Linked DNA regions of Coturnix japonica. The main gene of each other region encodes a partner of the protein of the gene in region 2 in a complex. Links are inferred from orthologs where the notes say so. Each region holds a gene or a part of one and is shown on either strand. Other genes may lie near its edges. The genes, in order: RGS2, GNAI3, TRPC5 and RGS8.

Region 1 (4,266 bases), on a different chromosome or scaffold from region 2:
ATGGGTTGGGGCAGCACTGCTGGATTCTATGGGAACATTAAAAATACCATCAGCAAGAGGCAGCGTGAGATGCAGCATGGATGCTGCATCCCTCACTTTGCCTGTGGCTCCTCTGCCATCCCAAAAGCAGACTGGTGCAACCTGCCTAGTTCACGTGATGCCAGCAGCAGCGCTGATGACGTTGTTTGATGTCAGACACATTCCCCTTCTATTTAACTCATACACAGAAAACATCTTCTGTCACACAAATGTTTTAACTGCTGTCCCAGCAAAGGTCAGGGTCACTACCAGAAAGCACGCAGCACAGCATGATGCAGCAAGAAACTATTCCATGTAGTTTCTTCTTCACTGCAAAAAACCAACACAGAACCAACAAAACATGCTAATAGCCTCACTTTAGGAGCGTAATGAAAATGTAAACTTCAAATACATATTAATGCAGATGATCAAAGTTGATCTAAGTATCTTTTTAAAACCAGATGTTATAGCAAGTACATCTTATCAGGCCATCTAACCTTACAATTCCATGTTCATAGGGTTGAAAAGGACCACAATGCTCATCTAGCTTCAAACCTCCTGCTATGTGCAGGGTCACCAACCACCAGACCAGGCTGCTCAGAGCACGTCCAGCCTGGCCTTGAATGCCTCCAGTGTTTTATTTTAACCTGAAATGCTATTTTCCCCTCTCACTGTTTAAAGACATAACAAAAGCTGTCTTAGAATCATTAAGGTTGGAAAGACCTCTCCAAGCCCAACTCCAGCCCATCCGCACTGACCATGCCTCTCAGTGCCATATCCTCCTCCTTTCTGGAACACCTCCAGGGACGATGACACCCCCCTATCTCCCAGCACAGCCTGTGCCACTCTATCACCACAAACTATTCCTAATACCTAACCTGGTCCTCCCCGGGAGCAACGTGAGACTATTCCTTCTCATCCTCACACAGGCTTTTCCTTAGCAAGCTCCCACCTGGGCAGCTCCTGCACGCAACAGGCAGCAGTACTGCATCCTTCTTTAAATGCTTTCAAATATTAAATAGAGGCCGTTTTTACCTAAGGCAAGATGCTCTGGCACAAGGCTGTGGGGGGGGGATGCTTTTTCGAGCCTAAGGTGTTGTGACGCGTGCGGCCGGTAGGGGGCAAAACGACGTGCTCAAATTTATCGCCGCTTTGGTTTTATCTTTTTTTCTTTTTTGAATAAAGGGGCCTTTATTCCTCCTTCCTCCTTTTCTTCTCTGCTCAGAAGCCTGTGCTGACTTTACGGACCCAAATCTGCAAATCGAAGAGGAAGAGAAGTAGAGTTGGAAAAGCAGCTTAAAGAGGAGAGAGAAAGAAAAGAGCGGAGAGAAAAGTAGCTCTGGGAGGGGTGGGAGGGGAAAGGGGGGGGGAAAAAAAAGAGAATAAATCAATATCGGAGCGCCCGGCCATACGGGGCGGGGCGTGGGGCGGAGCACGGGTGCTATATGGGGCGCTGCTGCAGCCGGGCAGCGGTGTAGGGCGATGCAGAGCGCCGTGTTCGTTGCTTTGCCGCAGGACGGCGGGCGGATGGAGCGGGGCAGCCGACGACGAGCTGAGCTGGAGGAGACGGACAAGGGCAGGATGATGAAGCGCACCATGTGAGTGGCACCGCCGGCTCGGCCGAAGGGAAAGGTTTCTCTCTTCTGCTCGCAGCCTGAAGGCGGCTCTGGGTACTGGGGTGAGGTTGGTGGTTGACGGCTTCGTTGTAAATGAGCGTCTTTTGTTTTTCCAGCATTAAAGACTGGAAGAAGAAGCTGAGCTACTTCCTGCAGAACTCTTCCCGTTCTGGCAAAATGAAGTCCAACAAAGCGAGCAAACACCACACCTATTTCAGGTGAGTTCCAGCCTTAGATAACTCGAGTGCTGCACAAAAGAAGCAGCAGATCTCGAGCTGCGGTCTCACTTTCTCTGCTCTTCTCTCTGCCTCACACAGACCTTCCCCCGAGGAAGCCCGGCTGTGGTCAGAAGCCTTCGATGAACTGCTGGCTAACAAATGTAAGTTGGTCTTCAGGCTGTAACTGTTAAGAACGAAGCAGGGGAGAAGCTGATATAGGAGATGGCTTCCCTGCATGTCAGTACTGCACGGAGCTCTTAAAGTAATATTAAAGCAGAGCTCCCCACTCTGAAGCATTGTAGCTGTAGGCTCTGTAGTTCAACTTTACCTATTCAGCCTGGCTTTGCCATAAGTGCAAAGCACTGTGCTCTCTTATCCAAATCAGATTCATTCTTATAATTCAGTAAGGATTCTGCAGCACAGAAGTCCACTGATTTCATTTTCTTGTGGGGCAGATTTTTGCTGGGGAAAAAAAAAAAAAAAAAGCACTCAACAGCACAGCAGTAACAACTAAGAGCTGATACGGCAATTTGTTCTTTGAACTTCTGAGTCATCCTTTCCATTGCAAAAGCGTTCCAGGGGTTTGTTGTGCTGTCAGAAGTATTTGCTCCAGCATAAAGGTTAATGAGGATGATCCCATCTAGAGCTTTTCTTCTTAACGTAGCTCATCTGCAGGTATCATAAGGGTACACACTGACTAGAAACAGCTTTTGGTTTTGCACTTACATTAATTTGGCTGACTTGAAGCCTGCCAAGCTGTTAGGGTGTTAATTTGCCTGCAATGTGGATTTCTTATTACCATAACATTGCAGAAAAGACCAGAACTACAGCAAAATATTTTGCTAGGAGCAGATGTGACAAATTGGCAAATATAAGATGCCTGGAATACTTAATTGATGTGGTTTTGCCTCCCTCCCCCCTTCCTTTCCCTAGATGGTGTTGCTGCTTTCCGAGCTTTTCTGAAGTCTGAGTTCTGCGAAGAGAACATCGAGTTCTGGCTGGCATGTGAGGACTTCAAGAAAACCAAATCCCCCCAGAAGCTGACACTGAAGGCAAAGAAAATCTACAATGACTTCATTGAAAAGGAGGCTCCCAAGGAGGTAAGGAAAGCACACAAGCATTGCCCTGTTTCGTGTCTTTAGCCCCACTCTATTCCTCTGAGCTTGTAAGATGCAGATGCCACAAATGCATTGGACACAACTTTTCCCTGACTGCCTTCTTTCATCAAGGTGGAAAATGGTACAAGCTGTACTTCAGATTCCACCTTAGCATGAATGGGGAGGGGGGGAGGAAAAACCAGCCTTGTCAAACACCTGTAATACTTGGGTTTGGCACCAGAAAACAGCATACCTGGATTACTCCAAGTTTTCATAGTAAAGAAATAATTTAAAAGAAACTACATCAATTTATCCCTGAAACAAAAGGACTCCTGACCTCTTCAAAAGTGTTGTGCTTGTTGGGATTCAGTTCTCAGAAAGTAAGCATCTGTTTTTTTGTATTTCAGATAAACATTGACTTCCAGACCAAGAACATGATAGCACAGAACCTCCAGGAAGCCACACACACCTGCTTCAGTGCAGCACAGAAGAGAGTTTACAGCCTCATGGAGAACAACTCATACCCACGGTTTCTGGAATCGGAGTTCTATCAGGAGCTGTGCAAGAAGCCTCCCATCACCAGAGCTGCCCAGGGAACATGAGTGCAGAGTGAGGAAACACCTCTCAGCTACCAAGGAACTGAGCTGGCTTGGCAGCATCCTGACCTGAGAGACTGAGATGGGAGCACTCAGTCAGTTTGCCTCAGCATAAGGACTGATATTGACTTTGGTGCAAAGCTGTTGGCAAAGGACATTGTTGGAAGGCGTTTGTGGCTGGCAGCAGTGCACCAGGCTGGTGATGTCCTTTTTGGAGTGCTGCAGTAAAGGAGCCTGCACGCATCTAACTGAGCTGTGCCTTGTGACACGCTCCTTGTCATAGCTGTGGTGTTATACAGCAGGTCAGCACAGAGCTGCCCTTCTGCAAGCAGAAGCATAAGTCTGTGCAGTTGAGCAGTGCTGGGAACTTGAGTCATGTATAGATTCTGGTGGCTTTTTTTTTTTTCCCCCTGCACATCAACCAGTACTGCTGTCATCAGTTCCTGGGTGTTGTAACACCATCTGTTTAAGCTGACATGAGCTGCAAAGAGATGTACTGAGGTTTGTGTGTGGTTTGCAGGCACCAGTTCTACCCTCACTGCTGTGCAAGGAGGGGACAGCCAGTTCTGCTCTAGGAGGAATGAGCTGTGCAGCACAGCCTGCAGGGCTGGGCATGGCAGCAGGGCTGCGTGAAGCTGGGCAGAGGGCAAAGCCCAGCTACAGTGAACAGGAGCTATACAGTATTATATTTATATACAGATTATGATTGTGTTGAACGCTG
Region 2 (4,122 bases):
GCTGCCCCATGGTGGCTGTGGGGAGGACTCACAGCAGGTCAGGGCAGCCCACAGCCTCCTCCTGCTGCCCACCACCACATCCAGGTTCGCTGGATACAATAAAAGCCGCTGCACCCCACACTGCCTGCAGCCCTTCTGCAGCCTCCTCCACCACCAGGCTTCCTCTGTACGCTGAGGTTGCAACACTGCTTCCCCACCTCGCACCCTCATGTTTACAGAGCCAGCTACTTCCCATGCTCTGACGCCATCTGGTAAACACAAGCTTGCAAGAAGGGTGGATTCGGTTCACTTGTTTTCTTTTCTTTACGCCCTGAAATGAGGCTCTGGGAACAGAGCACTGACTGAAAGCCCACAGCACGACTTGTGTCTGCCCTGCTGCTGCTCTGAGCCTCCCCAGCTCCTGGCTCAGTAGCTGTGGGGATCCACGGCTCCGTCCCCATTGGCATCACCCCATCCATCTCACTGCAGCACTGCTCTGCAGCGTGTGCTTCCAACCCTGAGACCTCAGCCCTGCAGGGGAGCAGGAGATAAAGCACCCTTAGGAGTACCATGTACCCACAGCATCACCCACACTATCACCACAGGAAGGGCTGCAGTGTGTCAGTGAGGAAGCTGAGGCTGTAACAGCAGAGATGAAGCGCTCAGGGCTGCGTGCTGGGCAGCAGCTCAGCTGACTGCTCGCTCTGTGCATTAGCAAGGCCGGGTGCTGCAGCAGCAGCCAGCTCCTCACTGCACTCTGCAGCATTTCCTAACAGCCCTGTCTTTCTATTCAATCTGTTCTCTCATTTTCAGCTCTTTCCTCTCCCTTTGAACCTGAAGCTGCTTTCCTGCAAGCATCTCAGAAACGCTCCCCCTGCCAGCTCACCTCCCTTGATCTAAACTCAACATCCTCTGCTGAGCTGTTACAGTTTCAGAAGCGCTCTTGCTTATTGTCGAGCTGCATTGTGCTCTGTGCAGACAGAGCCTGCAGGGAGCCGAGCTGTGACTCATCTCAAGGTTCTTATAAAGCATTTCCAAACTCATTTCTCAGAGGCTTCAAACTTGGCCAGACCACGCAGAGCCACCAGGAAGCACAACCGACCCCACAGCCACCCTTCCTCCTGGGTTTACAAAGCAATGAACACGCAGCTTTCCCCACACAGAAGCAACAGCTGTTTGATAGGGACAGGAACCAAAGGAGCAGCTGCCCTCCTCACATTGGTTATCACAGCACTCACAGCCAAGCAGAGGGCAGCTCCTGCCTGCCCACCCCACCACCAGAAGGGCCCAAGGGGTCTCTTACTACGAGGCAGAGTCGTTCAGCTGGTACTCCCTGGATCTGCTGAAGCAGGCCTGCACTCCAGCATCCCTCCACAGCCTCTTGATCACTCCAGCCAGCTCGGCCGTCATCACCCCTTCCTCTGCACTTCCAGCCAACACAAACAGCTGGCGGGCATCGTCCTGCAGGGACAGGAGGGGGGGTTAAGAAAGGAAATCAAGTTTACAAGCTTAAGGATCACTGCAATAGCTGAGAGGTGAGGGAGCCTCATTTCCTAATGGAGCATTTCATCACGAGGCAGCACATAGAGGGATCAGGATGCTGCTGTGAGCCTCAGTGTGACAGCCCACACCTCCATAGGCTCGCAAGCAATGTGTAGATATGGCAAACAGAGCACAGGGACCAGCCAAAGCTGCTCAATGCTCTGCTTCTATAACACGAGGTGGCTCAGGGACACCTCAGGTTTGTGGTTAATGTTGAGCACTTACATTGCAGACAATGAGGGGTCTCCTGTCAATGCAGACACAGCCCCAATCTCCAGCTCTCATTAACACCATTCAAAGCACAAACACAGAGGGAGATCAATGAAGTACTTACAGCTCTGGCCACCTCTCCAAAGTCAATCTTTAGCCTTCCCATGGCTCTTATGATAGCAATGATGGACTGGATCGTATTGCTGTACACCACCACTTTATACTGCTTGCATTCCTCCTCCGAGTAACCATCCTCATGGATAATCCTAAAGAAAACCGAGCTGTCATTGCTAAACCAAACCAGACCGGCAGCTCAGCGGCACTTCAACCCCTTCACTTACTTCATCTGCTTCACTATGGTGCTCTTCCCAGACTCCCCAGCACCTAAAAAGGATAAATACAGAAGGAAGACCATCACGATTGAGTCAGCAGGAGGCCTGGCTTGCTTTAAAACACCCCCCACAGGGCAGCACTCCCATGGTGGCCACACCGCACCATACGGTGCGGTGCGGCCACCGTGGGAGCGCTGCCCTGGGGGTTCTGATAGGCCCAAAGCCCACAGGCCCATTGGTTCCAATAGGCCCAAAGCCCACAGGCCCATTGGTTCCAATAGGCCCAAACCCCACAGGCCCATTGGTTCCGATAGGCCCAATGCACTTAGACAGATCCCAAGCGCATCCCCACCCCCGCGGCCTACTAGGCCCAGCCCAGCCCCTGCGGCCTACTAGGCCCAATCCAAAGCCTGCGGCCTACTAGGCCCAAATCAGAGCCTGCGGCCTACTAGGCCCAATCTAAAGCCTGCGGCCTACTAGGCCCAGTTCAGCCCCGCGGCCTACTAGGCCCGGTTTAGGCCTCTCACCCAGCAGTAGTAGTTTCACCTCCTTGGCCGCCTTCTCGCCGTCTTCCCGTAGGTTCCGATCGATCATTTTACTCCTTTCTACCGCCGCTTTATCCTCGGCGCTTAATGTACAGCCCATAACGGCGGCTGGGCGGAGGCCGCCGGGCCTTCAAATGGAACGGAACGAAAAGGGACGGAGCGGAACCGAACCGCGCCTCTCCCTCAGCCGGGGCGGCTCCCACAGGCGGAACCGGATATCCGCCCAGAGCGACCGTTAGCCGCAAAGCACGCCGGGAAGCACCGTCCGACAGGGCATTTCCGCCTCGGTAAAGTGGTGCATGATGGGAGCTGAGAGGGCGGAACTTCCGGTGTTGTGTGGATGTATTATGGGAGTTGTAGTCTTGAGATGATTGCGGGGCCTACACAGCCCCCAACCCAACACATAGCCCCCCAACCCAATGCTGAGCCTCCAACCCAATGCTGAGCCCCCCAACCCAATTCTGAGCCCCCAACCCAATGCTGAGCCCCCAACCCAGTGCTGAGCCCCCAAACCGATGCTGAGCCCCCCAACCCAATGCTGTTCCCCTATCCCAATGCTGTGACCCTAACCTGATGCTGAGCCCCCAACCCACTGCTAAGCCCCCAACCCAATGCTGTGACCCCAACTCGATGCTGAGCCCCCCAACCCAATGCTGTGCCCGCAACCCAATGCTGTGCCCCCAACCCAATGCTGAGCCCCCCAACTCAATGCTGTGCCCCCAACCCAATGCTGTGCCCCCCAACCCAATGCTGAGCCCTCAACCCACTGCTAAGCCCCCAACCCGATGCTGAGCCCCCAACCCCACCGTGGAGCCCACACATTGGGTCCCCCACCCCTCCACCCCCTCCCCACGTCCCGCCCCACATCCACACACCCACACCACTCTTCCCTTCCATCCTTGTTTAACACCCGCAGCCGCACACGCTACAGCCCCGCTCTGCTCACGGTGCCCCCCCCGTCCGCTCCGTCCCTTCGGCCGCTTCATCCCCGATCTGTCCCGGGATGCGAAAATCGACGGGCGCCGGTTCCCGTTTGGGGCTGGGGGTGCCCAGAGGCGGCGGGGGCAGCTCTTGGGGGCAGCCGGTGCCCTGTAGGAACTGCAGGAAGTTCTCCTCGATGGAGCCCTCCCGGCTGGGCAGACGCAGGTCCTCCTCGGGGGGCTGCTTGAAGAAGCAGGTGAGGAGCCGGCCCAGCTCACCGCGGATCTGCCGGTTGAGGCACCCGTAGAAGAACGGGTTGGAGGTAAAGCAGAAATAACCCAGCCAAGTGACCACGGTCTCGGCCGCCGGCCCCGCTAAGGGTTGTGCACTGAGCGCCGTGTAGAGGTGGAAGGAGAAATAGGGCAGCCAACAGAATAGGAACTGGCCGCCCACAGCCAGCAAGATGGCGGCCGCTTTGCCCCCTCCAAACGTCCTTTGCGGGGTGGTGCGGGGCGCCCCCGAGCTGGTCACCATGGTGGAACGGCTGCTGAGCGACTCGGAGCGGCGCCGGGGGGTCTCCATCCAGGTGGGAG
Region 3 (3,557 bases), on a different chromosome or scaffold from region 2:
CCACCAAGATTTACAATCTTTAGTCACTGAGACCCATGATATGTAGATTACTTATCAGGAGTCTGTGAAAAGTGTGCTGTGAGCGCATCTGCTGGTAGGTGGCTTCCATTTGATATAAAGCAGTCAGCTTCTCCTCTTGTAAATACACTCAAGGTTTAATTTGTAGGCAAAGAAGTGACAGAGCAACATGCTGGAACTTTAAAATTGTACTGTTTGGGGGCATGTTGAAAATCCAGAAGGCTGTATGGCGGCCTGTTAGATTTCCAAGGGAAAAACTTCCAAGACAGTTGCTTGTCCCTGAAGAAGCAGCTCTGTGACAACATCAAAGCAAAAATAGATCACATCTTTTCTTCCCAGCATTCAGAACCAGTGAGGAAATTAGAGACTTTAAAGGCTGGTCTTTAATCTGTGAGCAATACAGAAAATGTTGAAAATTGTAGCATTCACAAACAAATCCTAAAATGCTAACAATCTCTTTTTATTTCTCTCTCACACACACAAATTACACATCCACAGATTTATATGGTCACACACTGAAATTTAAACTTGCAGCCAAACCAGACACACTGAGGAAACATAGTTTCATTTATATGCTTCCTAAGAACCTCAGGAACAAAGAGCTATACATCAGCACAAAAAAGAATACAAAATGATTACAGGAATGTATCCGTTTAAGTACAGATCAGACCCACTTGAATTAAACCTGGCTATAACCTAAGGTCTGGTCTTGACAAGGACCAAGGTCAAACAATACTGAGAAGTGCTTAAAACATTCTACAGTGGTAGCTCTTACACAGCATGCCCACAGAAGTTCTGACCTATGTCACATAAAGGTTGCAGTATGCTCAGAGACACGAGCATTTAAAACATTGATAATGGCTTCAAAGTCTTCTGCAACATGACCTGTAAAGTTTTTTGTTATTTATAGAACAGCCCGGGGCTGGAAATGGCTGTTACATATACCAATATACCATAGTCTAACATTTCTTGGAACTCCAAAGATTTACATGGACATTTAACTTTCTGCCAAATATAAGAAAAATAAATTGTATACTGACAGTTGTTTTCCATCCTAATTTTTGTGTGGAGACTTTTTTTTCTTTTCCCCTGATTTGACTGGTTTCAAGATCTGGCTGCAATATTATCTAGTAACAATGAAATCTTCAGCCTCATTATAGGGTAAAAATTCTTTCTTAATCAGTTTTCATTTTCTGCATTGAATTATCACGTAATGAGAAAGGGTAAATATGCCAGTCTATTATAACTTATTTGTACTACTCTGTATACTTTGTTTTTCATCTTCTGATGCCTAACCTGAACAGCTCCAGCCTTCTCATTAGATAACTCTGAAATCAGTTTCTCTGCTACCTCCGGTTGCCCATTCAAAAGTGATTGCTGCTTTCCAAGCAAGGATATACCATCAGTTTATAAAGGGCTAAAATACAATCCTAGCAAGTTGCTTTAAAAGTAGATGTGAGATGAAGTCCTTCTCACATTCCTTTACTTACACCCTATCCTCGCAGAGAGCCTCAAGGCTGCTGTGTCCAGCCGGCATGCAGAAGGAAACTGCAAATCTTCCCTCTAGGAAGGGGAGGCTTGCTGGTCACATCTGTCCACTCCCACTGTAGGTTGTTGGCAGAAAAGTTTAAAGTGGCCACCTGTTTGTAAATGTTTTAAGACCCATCTTCAAATCAAGTTAACAAACTCAGGCCATTATGTTCATGGAATAATGAAAGGCTTGGAAATTTCAGAAGCAATCACATCCCATTGAAATTCTGTCATGTCTCAGTGCCTTCATATGGAGGAACAGTTTAAAAACAACTGCTGGTTTTAGTTGTATCCTTGAAAAAAAAACCTTCAGATTCAAATGGGAAGTCCCTATAAGCTCATCTGCCAGTGATATATGGCTGCCATTTCCTTTTTAAAAGTGTAAAAAAGGTTTTTAGAGACCTAGACATTCTGGCTACACTATCAGCAGTACATTTTTGCCTTTTCACGTGTTAAGTCAGCAGAAATAAATGCTATAGAAGACAAAATATTCCTTGATGTTAAAATGTCTTTAACTCCATCCTCTGCTGCCAGAGAAGTCACATTTATACATACCAGCTCTTTTATGTCACCTATTTACATCTGGCTGCACCTGGCTCACATAATGCTTCTGCTTTTACAGTTACATTACAAACCAAGTTAATTTTACAACCGATGCACTCAAGTGTATCCAGCGTTTTGGCTGTAATTATGACCTCTGCCTAAGCAACTTTCCTGGAATTACCATGGCAAGTTAACTAATGAGAAAATTAATGTGAAGAACATTATTTGGTTCTGGGCTGTTGGCACATTTTTGGCGGAGGGAAAGCATCCGCTTCTTATGTTCCTTAATTCATTGCTTGCTTTCTTCCTTCCTTCCTTTCTGTCTCTCTCTCACATTCATCCTGGAATAAGCAGTGTTTCAAGGGTGTGATAGTATTCAGGAAGAAAAATAGTAAGAAGGTCATTGGAAATGACCTATACCTACTAAGGATCAGTCTGAACCCCTTTAAGTGTTATAAGAGAAAGATGTTATATATCAACACAAGGACCTGAATTACCCACAGTTACCCAATTCAAAAGACCTGTTATCAAACTTTAGCTGAGTACAGCCCACATACCAGAAACCCCCAGAGAAAAGCTGATATCCCAAAAATATCTCTAGAGAGCAGTCTAAATCTGTAGGGGGTTTCATAAGAAGACTTCATTAGAAAGCTCTGTCCTGATGAACTCATCTTCAATCATGAATCATGAATGATAGTGGTTGAAAAGTACTTCTTGTGTCACTATCTGGTTGATATATGTAGGTAAAGCATTAGTATTAGCAGGTTTGAGTTTCAAGTTTACCTCAAAATGATTACAACATAATTCACTTTTATACCCTTGTTATTTCTTTCAGTACAACGGTTCTCGTCCAAGGGAGGAATGGGAAATGTGGCACCCGACTCTCATTGCAGAAGCCCTCTTTGCAATATCCAACATTTTAAGTTCTTTGCGTCTCATATCCCTGTTTACAGCAAATTCACACCTGGGACCCCTGCAGATTTCTCTGGGACGCATGCTGCTAGACATCCTTAAATTCCTTTTTATCTACTGTCTGGTGCTTCTGGCTTTTGCCAATGGACTGAACCAGCTTTATTTTTATTATGAGACCAGTGCCTCGGAGGAACCCAACAACTGCAAGGGGATCCGATGTGAGAAACAGAACAATGCCTTCTCCACGTAAGATGTTCTTTCCTGTCTTGATTTTGAGGACAACTCTCACTGTCCTCTGTCTTACCTGCTTTTATATGTTGTGTATCACTGCACCAAAAGTAACTTTATTTTTCATTTGTAAATATCAGGTGAGCTGCTTGACTGTGCAGGAAAGGTGTGAGTTAACTGGGGCAGGCATTCTGCTGAGCTTTGCTGTCAGAAAGCCTCTTAGGTCTGGAAGTGAGAGACAATCATTTTAGTTCTGGTCCAGAGAGTCTCTCTGCATCATCCTGCAACTGAAATGTTATTACTGCTACGTTCAGTTTTGGCATGTG
Region 4 (4,195 bases), on a different chromosome or scaffold from region 2:
GCAGAGGGAAGCACAGCATTTTCTCCCTTCCCTATGCAGAACACTTCAGCACTGAGCTAATCTGTAGCACGCCTGTCCCCCTCTTCTCCTCCCGCCCTGCAGAGAGTTTCTATTATTGCACATTTTCATGTAATCTTACAGCAAATTAAATGTTAATTAAATGCAACGAGTGTCTCCCTGGCAGAGCTCAGGCAGCTCCCAGCACAAAACCTGGGGATCTTCAGTGGCAAGAATAGCTCCAAAACACAAACCTGTGGACTGCAGTCTCAGGATGTTGCCCTACATCCACAGCAAAGCAGACACTGTGTGCACAGCACTGCATCTCCAGCTGAGCCTGCTGCGCTCAGACTGACACTGAGTGGCTATAGGATCGCACTGGTACCTTTCCCATATGCCTCCTGTCCCCAGCGCTCATCCACCTTGGCCATGCCCTGATAAAGCTCACAGCTTTCTCAGCAAGAGGTGTGGTATGCAGTGCTGCTGGGATTTCTCCAGTGCCTGAGATGATGGGACTGCAGCAGGGAATGGCAGCAAGGAGGCTGCGATGCTGCACTGTGAGCACGGAGCTCAGCTTGGGGAACACGGGTTGTGACACCAGGACAGGACACAGGGAAAAGAACCTGGATTGGTAGGAGGTGTGGGGAGGCAGGGGAAGGGCAGGAGGGAGCCATGAGGCTCACAGGATGAGGCAGACAGCAACAAGGGGTGAGGTGTCTGTGCAGTTACCTCCGTGGGATCAGTAATGCAGCCATTCAGGACTCCAGTTACGGCCAATCCTCTGTCTGGTTGGCTTGGAGAGTGGTTTGCAGGAGATTAGGAGTGTGGGAAGGAGGGATTTACAGTTTGATGTCCTGGCACTTCAAAATATAACAAAGAATCCTCTGCCAGAAAAGGAGGGCCCGTTGCTCTCAACCCATTTGATCCTCGTCAGTTTTCCAATGGAAGACTCTCGGAGCTGAAGGATGATCACAAAGAAGAGACAGCATTTCCTCCTGGGAGCAGAGCCATGGGGTAAGTCCAGCTGCAGGTCTGTGCTTGGCGTCACGGCTCAGCATGGAGCAGCAGGGCTCGGCACAGCCACATTCATCATGTGTTGCCTCCAAAGGTCGGTCCTCAACAGGCAGAGCTCCGGGCTGACCTCACTAAGAGGATCCAACTACCTCTTTTCCATGTGCCTGCGGGTCACAGCTGGCGTTACTGGCCATCGTTGTGCTGCAAACAGAAGAACAGGAGGACTTCATGCACCTGTGGATCACTCCTTCCACCATTGCAGGGCTCAAGCACTCATACAGATGAACTCAATGAAAGCATCTCCTTGTCTGGGTGGTGGAAGCTGAATGAATGGACTGAGGGGGTGGCAGGGTTCCCTGAGCATGGGTATGAGATTCTGCTGGGACGGATCTCCCTGCAGGCAGTGAAGGCAGTATCCACTAAGCTGGTAGGACAGAGCAGGACAGAGCTGCTTGCGTAGCAAGCAAAGTGCAAAGGTTTCCTGTTTGCCAGGACAAGGTTGAGCTCCAGATAACCTCCAGGTCTCCCAGCCCAGGGGGGATGGCAGAGGAGGAGAGTGAGGAGCTGATGGGAACAGCAGCTGCGTACAAGGAGCCAGGAGCTCGCTCTGCCCGGGCCAGGGGAGATCCCAAAGCTTGTGCTGCCCAATGCAGCATCCCTTTTAAAACCTGATTACATTAAAAACACACAAAGCCTCTTCCCAACTAAATTAATGGAACTGGGATTGCACTATATGCCAGTGAGTGCATTTTCTTAATCCCTGCCCTGACCGGCTGCTTCGATGTGCTTTAACTGAAATCAATCCTTGTAATTCCTTAAGCCCCTTCAAAATTTCCTCATTAACAGTTTCACCCACATGTGGGGCCAAGCAGAGGATTTCCCAGAGCCCAGCAGCCCCTTCTCTCTCTGACAGCTGGGATGGGTGCCCACATGGTGCCCTCTCTTGCAGTCTCCCCTTGCTACATGCTTTTGGAGGTGCTGTTATGAAACAGCTCAATGCTCACCCCCGCTCCCACCCACACAACCTGCACAACAGAACGGCACCCAACTTCCCCAAGGTCCCAAAGTCTGTCTGTCTTTGGGACATCGAGTCCCACAGCTGGGCTGGAGCATCTGTGGGTACGGTATGCCCTTGACTTGCCAGCAAAGCCAGTCGATGCCCTTAGAAATAGAATGTGGTGAAGGCATCCCAGTAAGAGTCTGCAGCGAGGATTATTGCTTCACCCTCCATCCCTTGTACTCTTCCACCGCCCCCCCCTAAGGCAGGGCCCCATCCAGGAGAACTGCCACTCTCACCATGGATGTGTTTTGGGGTTTCTCCTTGGGAGACAAAGGGAGGGGGAGCAACCATGACATCGGGATTATCGACCCCCCTCCATCCCAGGAGATCACCTGAGCAAAGATAAGGGAGCCATCCCAATCAGCAGCACAAAGGGGAAGAGGAAAACAAACCAAACAAACACCAGACCCGGGGTGGGGGGGTAGGTGGGCTTCAGGAGATAAAACACCCGCAGAGCAGATAAACCGAGCGAGGAGGCACTGCGGACTGAGCGATACTCACCGCCGTTGGTTGACCTGTCCTCCGCGTGTGCTCGGGGAGGCTCTGGGGACACAGCAGAGAGCTCCCTTCAGACCCAGCCCCTCGCACTGCCCTCCGATCCCTCTTCTTTCCCCACACCCCACCCGGAGCCCCGCGTCTCAGCCCCGCACAGCCTCACCCGGCGCTCCGCAACGCGGCGGCTGCACCGCGATGGGCGGCGATGCAGCGGTGCCCACCTGACCCGCTCGTCCCTCCGCATCCCTCCTCGCCCGCTCACCTGCTGGGAGCGTCCCCCCGCCCCGCTACAGATGCCAAAAGCCGGTGGGGTGGGGGATGTCTGCCAGAGCTGTCGCTGCTGTCACCCTCCCCTCTTTGGGAGGGAGAGTCCCTCCCGCATCGCTTTGATCAGCCTCTCTGAGGCTTAGGGGAGGATGCTGCCCTCGGATCGTCGGCAGTCGCATAGACAGAAGGGAGTGGGGAGCTTAATTAGAGAGCCTCGGCTTCAGTGGGGGCAAGGGAAATCGTTAACCTTATTGTACAGCATGGGAAAGGGAAGAAACCAACCCACCTGGCAGCTCAGGTTGCAACCAGCCCCTGCACTTCTTTGCTATGTGCCCCCCCTCCCCTGGAACCAACCTTGGTTTGCCTCCCACCCCTCTTCCTGCACCCACCCCTCCACCTTCAGCCAACAGCGTGTATCTGGGGTTCACTCCTGGTGAGGCTTCTACTGTAATCTATCCCTGCACCCCAGTAGCAGGACCCCAGCAGTGAGACCTCAGACCTGGGCTTGGCTCAGCCACCAGAAGCACAGCCCCTGGATGCCAATAGAGGTGCTCACCAAGGGCCCAAGCCATGAGATCTCCCCATTTTGATGGGGAACGTGTTGCTCAGAGTGACAGTGGGTGCCCCATCCCTGCAGACAACCAAGGTCAGGCTGAGTGGGCTCTGAGCACCTGATATAGCTATAAGCATCCCTGCTGAATACAGGGGGTTGGACCAGATGGCTTTTAAGTATCCCTTCCAACTCAAATCATTCTGTGATTCTACAGCCATGAGAGCTCTTGATGGAGCTTGTCACCGCTTGAGGCATCAGAAAAAATACTGTACACCACAAAACCCCAATCCCAAGCAGATAAACCAGTTGCTATTTTTCCCTCATCACCTCTCCTTGGCTAACAAAACCCTGGGCTGACATCCTCATGCTCTTAGCAAGAAGCACAGCTTGAGACAGCACATCATCACCAGGCAACACCCCTGGGGAGGGAGCATCCCATAGAACTTACTATAAAAACACAGGGATTAGCAGCTCTGCAGGCATGATCCCATTGCTCCAGCCTGGATTCCCTCCTTCACAGCTCATCTTGGCAAGGAAATAACTCTCCCCTGCTGTCATCCTCCCCCTTGCAAAGCCCAGGTCATCCTGACTTGGATTCATCGCATCTCCGGTGATGAGGAAACAAGTGCTGAAAATACCCTAACAAAAAAAAATGCAGTGGTTGATACAACCTCCTCTCAGCCAAGGTTAAAGGTTGAGGTTCATCTGATGCCTCTGGTCTGTTCCAGTTAAATAACAATCCGCTTCAGCCCTTCCCCGAACCCAGGCCAAATTTAACACAGCATCACTCAGGGTTCAACTCTTAGCAC

What was found.
Region 1: the proteins of GNAI3 (region 2) and RGS2 are in contact, whole or in part, in a crystal structure (PDB 2V4Z), measured with the Homo sapiens proteins. The link is inferred for Coturnix japonica from reciprocal best matches to the Homo sapiens genes GNAI3 and RGS2. Residues at the interface, in NP_006487.1 of Homo sapiens: Val179, Lys180, Thr181, Thr182, Gly183, Ile184, Val185, Gln204, Ser206, Glu207, Lys209, Lys210, His213, Ala235, Glu236, Asp237, Glu238; in NP_002914.1 of Homo sapiens: Glu104, Phe105, Glu108, Asn109, Glu143, Ala144, Pro145, Glu147, Ile148, Asn149, Asp151, Phe152, Leu180, Asn183, Ser185, Arg188.
Region 3: the proteins of GNAI3 (region 2) and TRPC5 are in contact, whole or in part, in a cryo-EM structure (PDB 8GVX), measured with the Homo sapiens proteins. The link is inferred for Coturnix japonica from reciprocal best matches to the Homo sapiens genes GNAI3 and TRPC5. Residues at the interface, in NP_006487.1 of Homo sapiens: Arg205, Arg208, Lys209, Trp211, Ile212, His213, Phe215, Glu216, Glu245, Leu249, Ser252, Asn256, Lys257, Trp258, Arg312; in NP_036603.1 of Homo sapiens: Thr27, Glu32, Glu33, Glu56, Ile57, Tyr58, Tyr59, Asn60, Lys125, Pro128, Thr129, Leu130, Met131.
Region 4: the proteins of GNAI3 (region 2) and RGS8 are in contact, whole or in part, in a crystal structure (PDB 2ODE), measured with the Homo sapiens proteins. The link is inferred for Coturnix japonica from reciprocal best matches to the Homo sapiens genes GNAI3 and RGS8. Residues at the interface, in NP_006487.1 of Homo sapiens: Glu65, Gln68, Ser75, Val179, Lys180, Thr181, Thr182, Gly183, Ile184, Val185, Gln204, Ser206, Glu207, Lys209, Lys210, His213, Ala235, Glu236, Asp237, Glu238; in NP_001095920.1 of Homo sapiens: Thr76, Glu77, Phe78, Ser79, Glu81, Asn82, Ala117, Pro118, Glu120, Val121, Asn122, Ile123, Asp124, Phe125, Gln126, Arg128, Leu153, Lys156, Asp157, Ser158, Arg161, Arg164.

The regions. Positions count from the first base shown.
Region 1 is NC_029523.1:3,458,989-3,463,254, reverse strand, and holds the start of RGS2 (regulator of G-protein signaling 2), read left to right. Parts: upstream 1-1,466; 5' UTR 1,467-1,500; coding exon 1,501-1,616; intron 1,617-1,750; coding exon 1,751-1,852; intron 1,853-1,951; coding exon 1,952-2,013; intron 2,014-2,785; coding exon 2,786-2,952; intron 2,953-3,356; coding exon 3,357-3,551; 3' UTR 3,552-4,266. UniProt on the Homo sapiens protein: Regulates G protein-coupled receptor signaling cascades. Inhibits signal transduction by increasing the GTPase activity of G protein alpha subunits, thereby driving them into their inactive GDP-bound form.
Region 2 is NC_029541.1:1,611,433-1,615,554, reverse strand, and holds the start of GNAI3 (guanine nucleotide-binding protein G(i) subunit alpha), read right to left. Parts: upstream 2,845-4,122; 5' UTR 2,709-2,844; coding exon 2,591-2,708; intron 2,116-2,590; coding exon 2,073-2,115; intron 1,998-2,072; coding exon 1,856-1,997; intron 1,441-1,855; coding exon 1,283-1,440; intron 1-1,282. Other genes in the region: GPR61 (G-protein coupled receptor 61), read right to left, coding at 3,551-4,122. UniProt on the Homo sapiens protein: Heterotrimeric guanine nucleotide-binding proteins (G proteins) function as transducers downstream of G protein-coupled receptors (GPCRs) in numerous signaling cascades.
Region 3 is NC_029519.1:12,390,685-12,394,241, forward strand, and holds part of TRPC5 (short transient receptor potential channel 5), read left to right. Parts: intron 1-2,926; coding exon 2,927-3,249; intron 3,250-3,557. UniProt on the Homo sapiens protein: Forms a receptor-activated non-selective calcium permeant cation channel. Mediates calcium-dependent phosphatidylserine externalization and apoptosis in neurons via its association with PLSCR1.
Region 4 is NC_029523.1:6,095,541-6,099,735, forward strand, and holds the start of RGS8 (regulator of G-protein signaling 8), read right to left. Parts: upstream 2,811-4,195; coding exon 2,730-2,810; intron 2,720-2,729; exon of another isoform or gene 2,615-2,719; coding exon 2,582-2,614; exon of another isoform or gene 2,573-2,581; intron 1,213-2,572; exon of another isoform or gene 753-1,212; coding exon of another isoform or gene 727-752; intron 1-726. UniProt on the Homo sapiens protein: Regulates G protein-coupled receptor signaling cascades, including signaling via muscarinic acetylcholine receptor CHRM2 and dopamine receptor DRD2.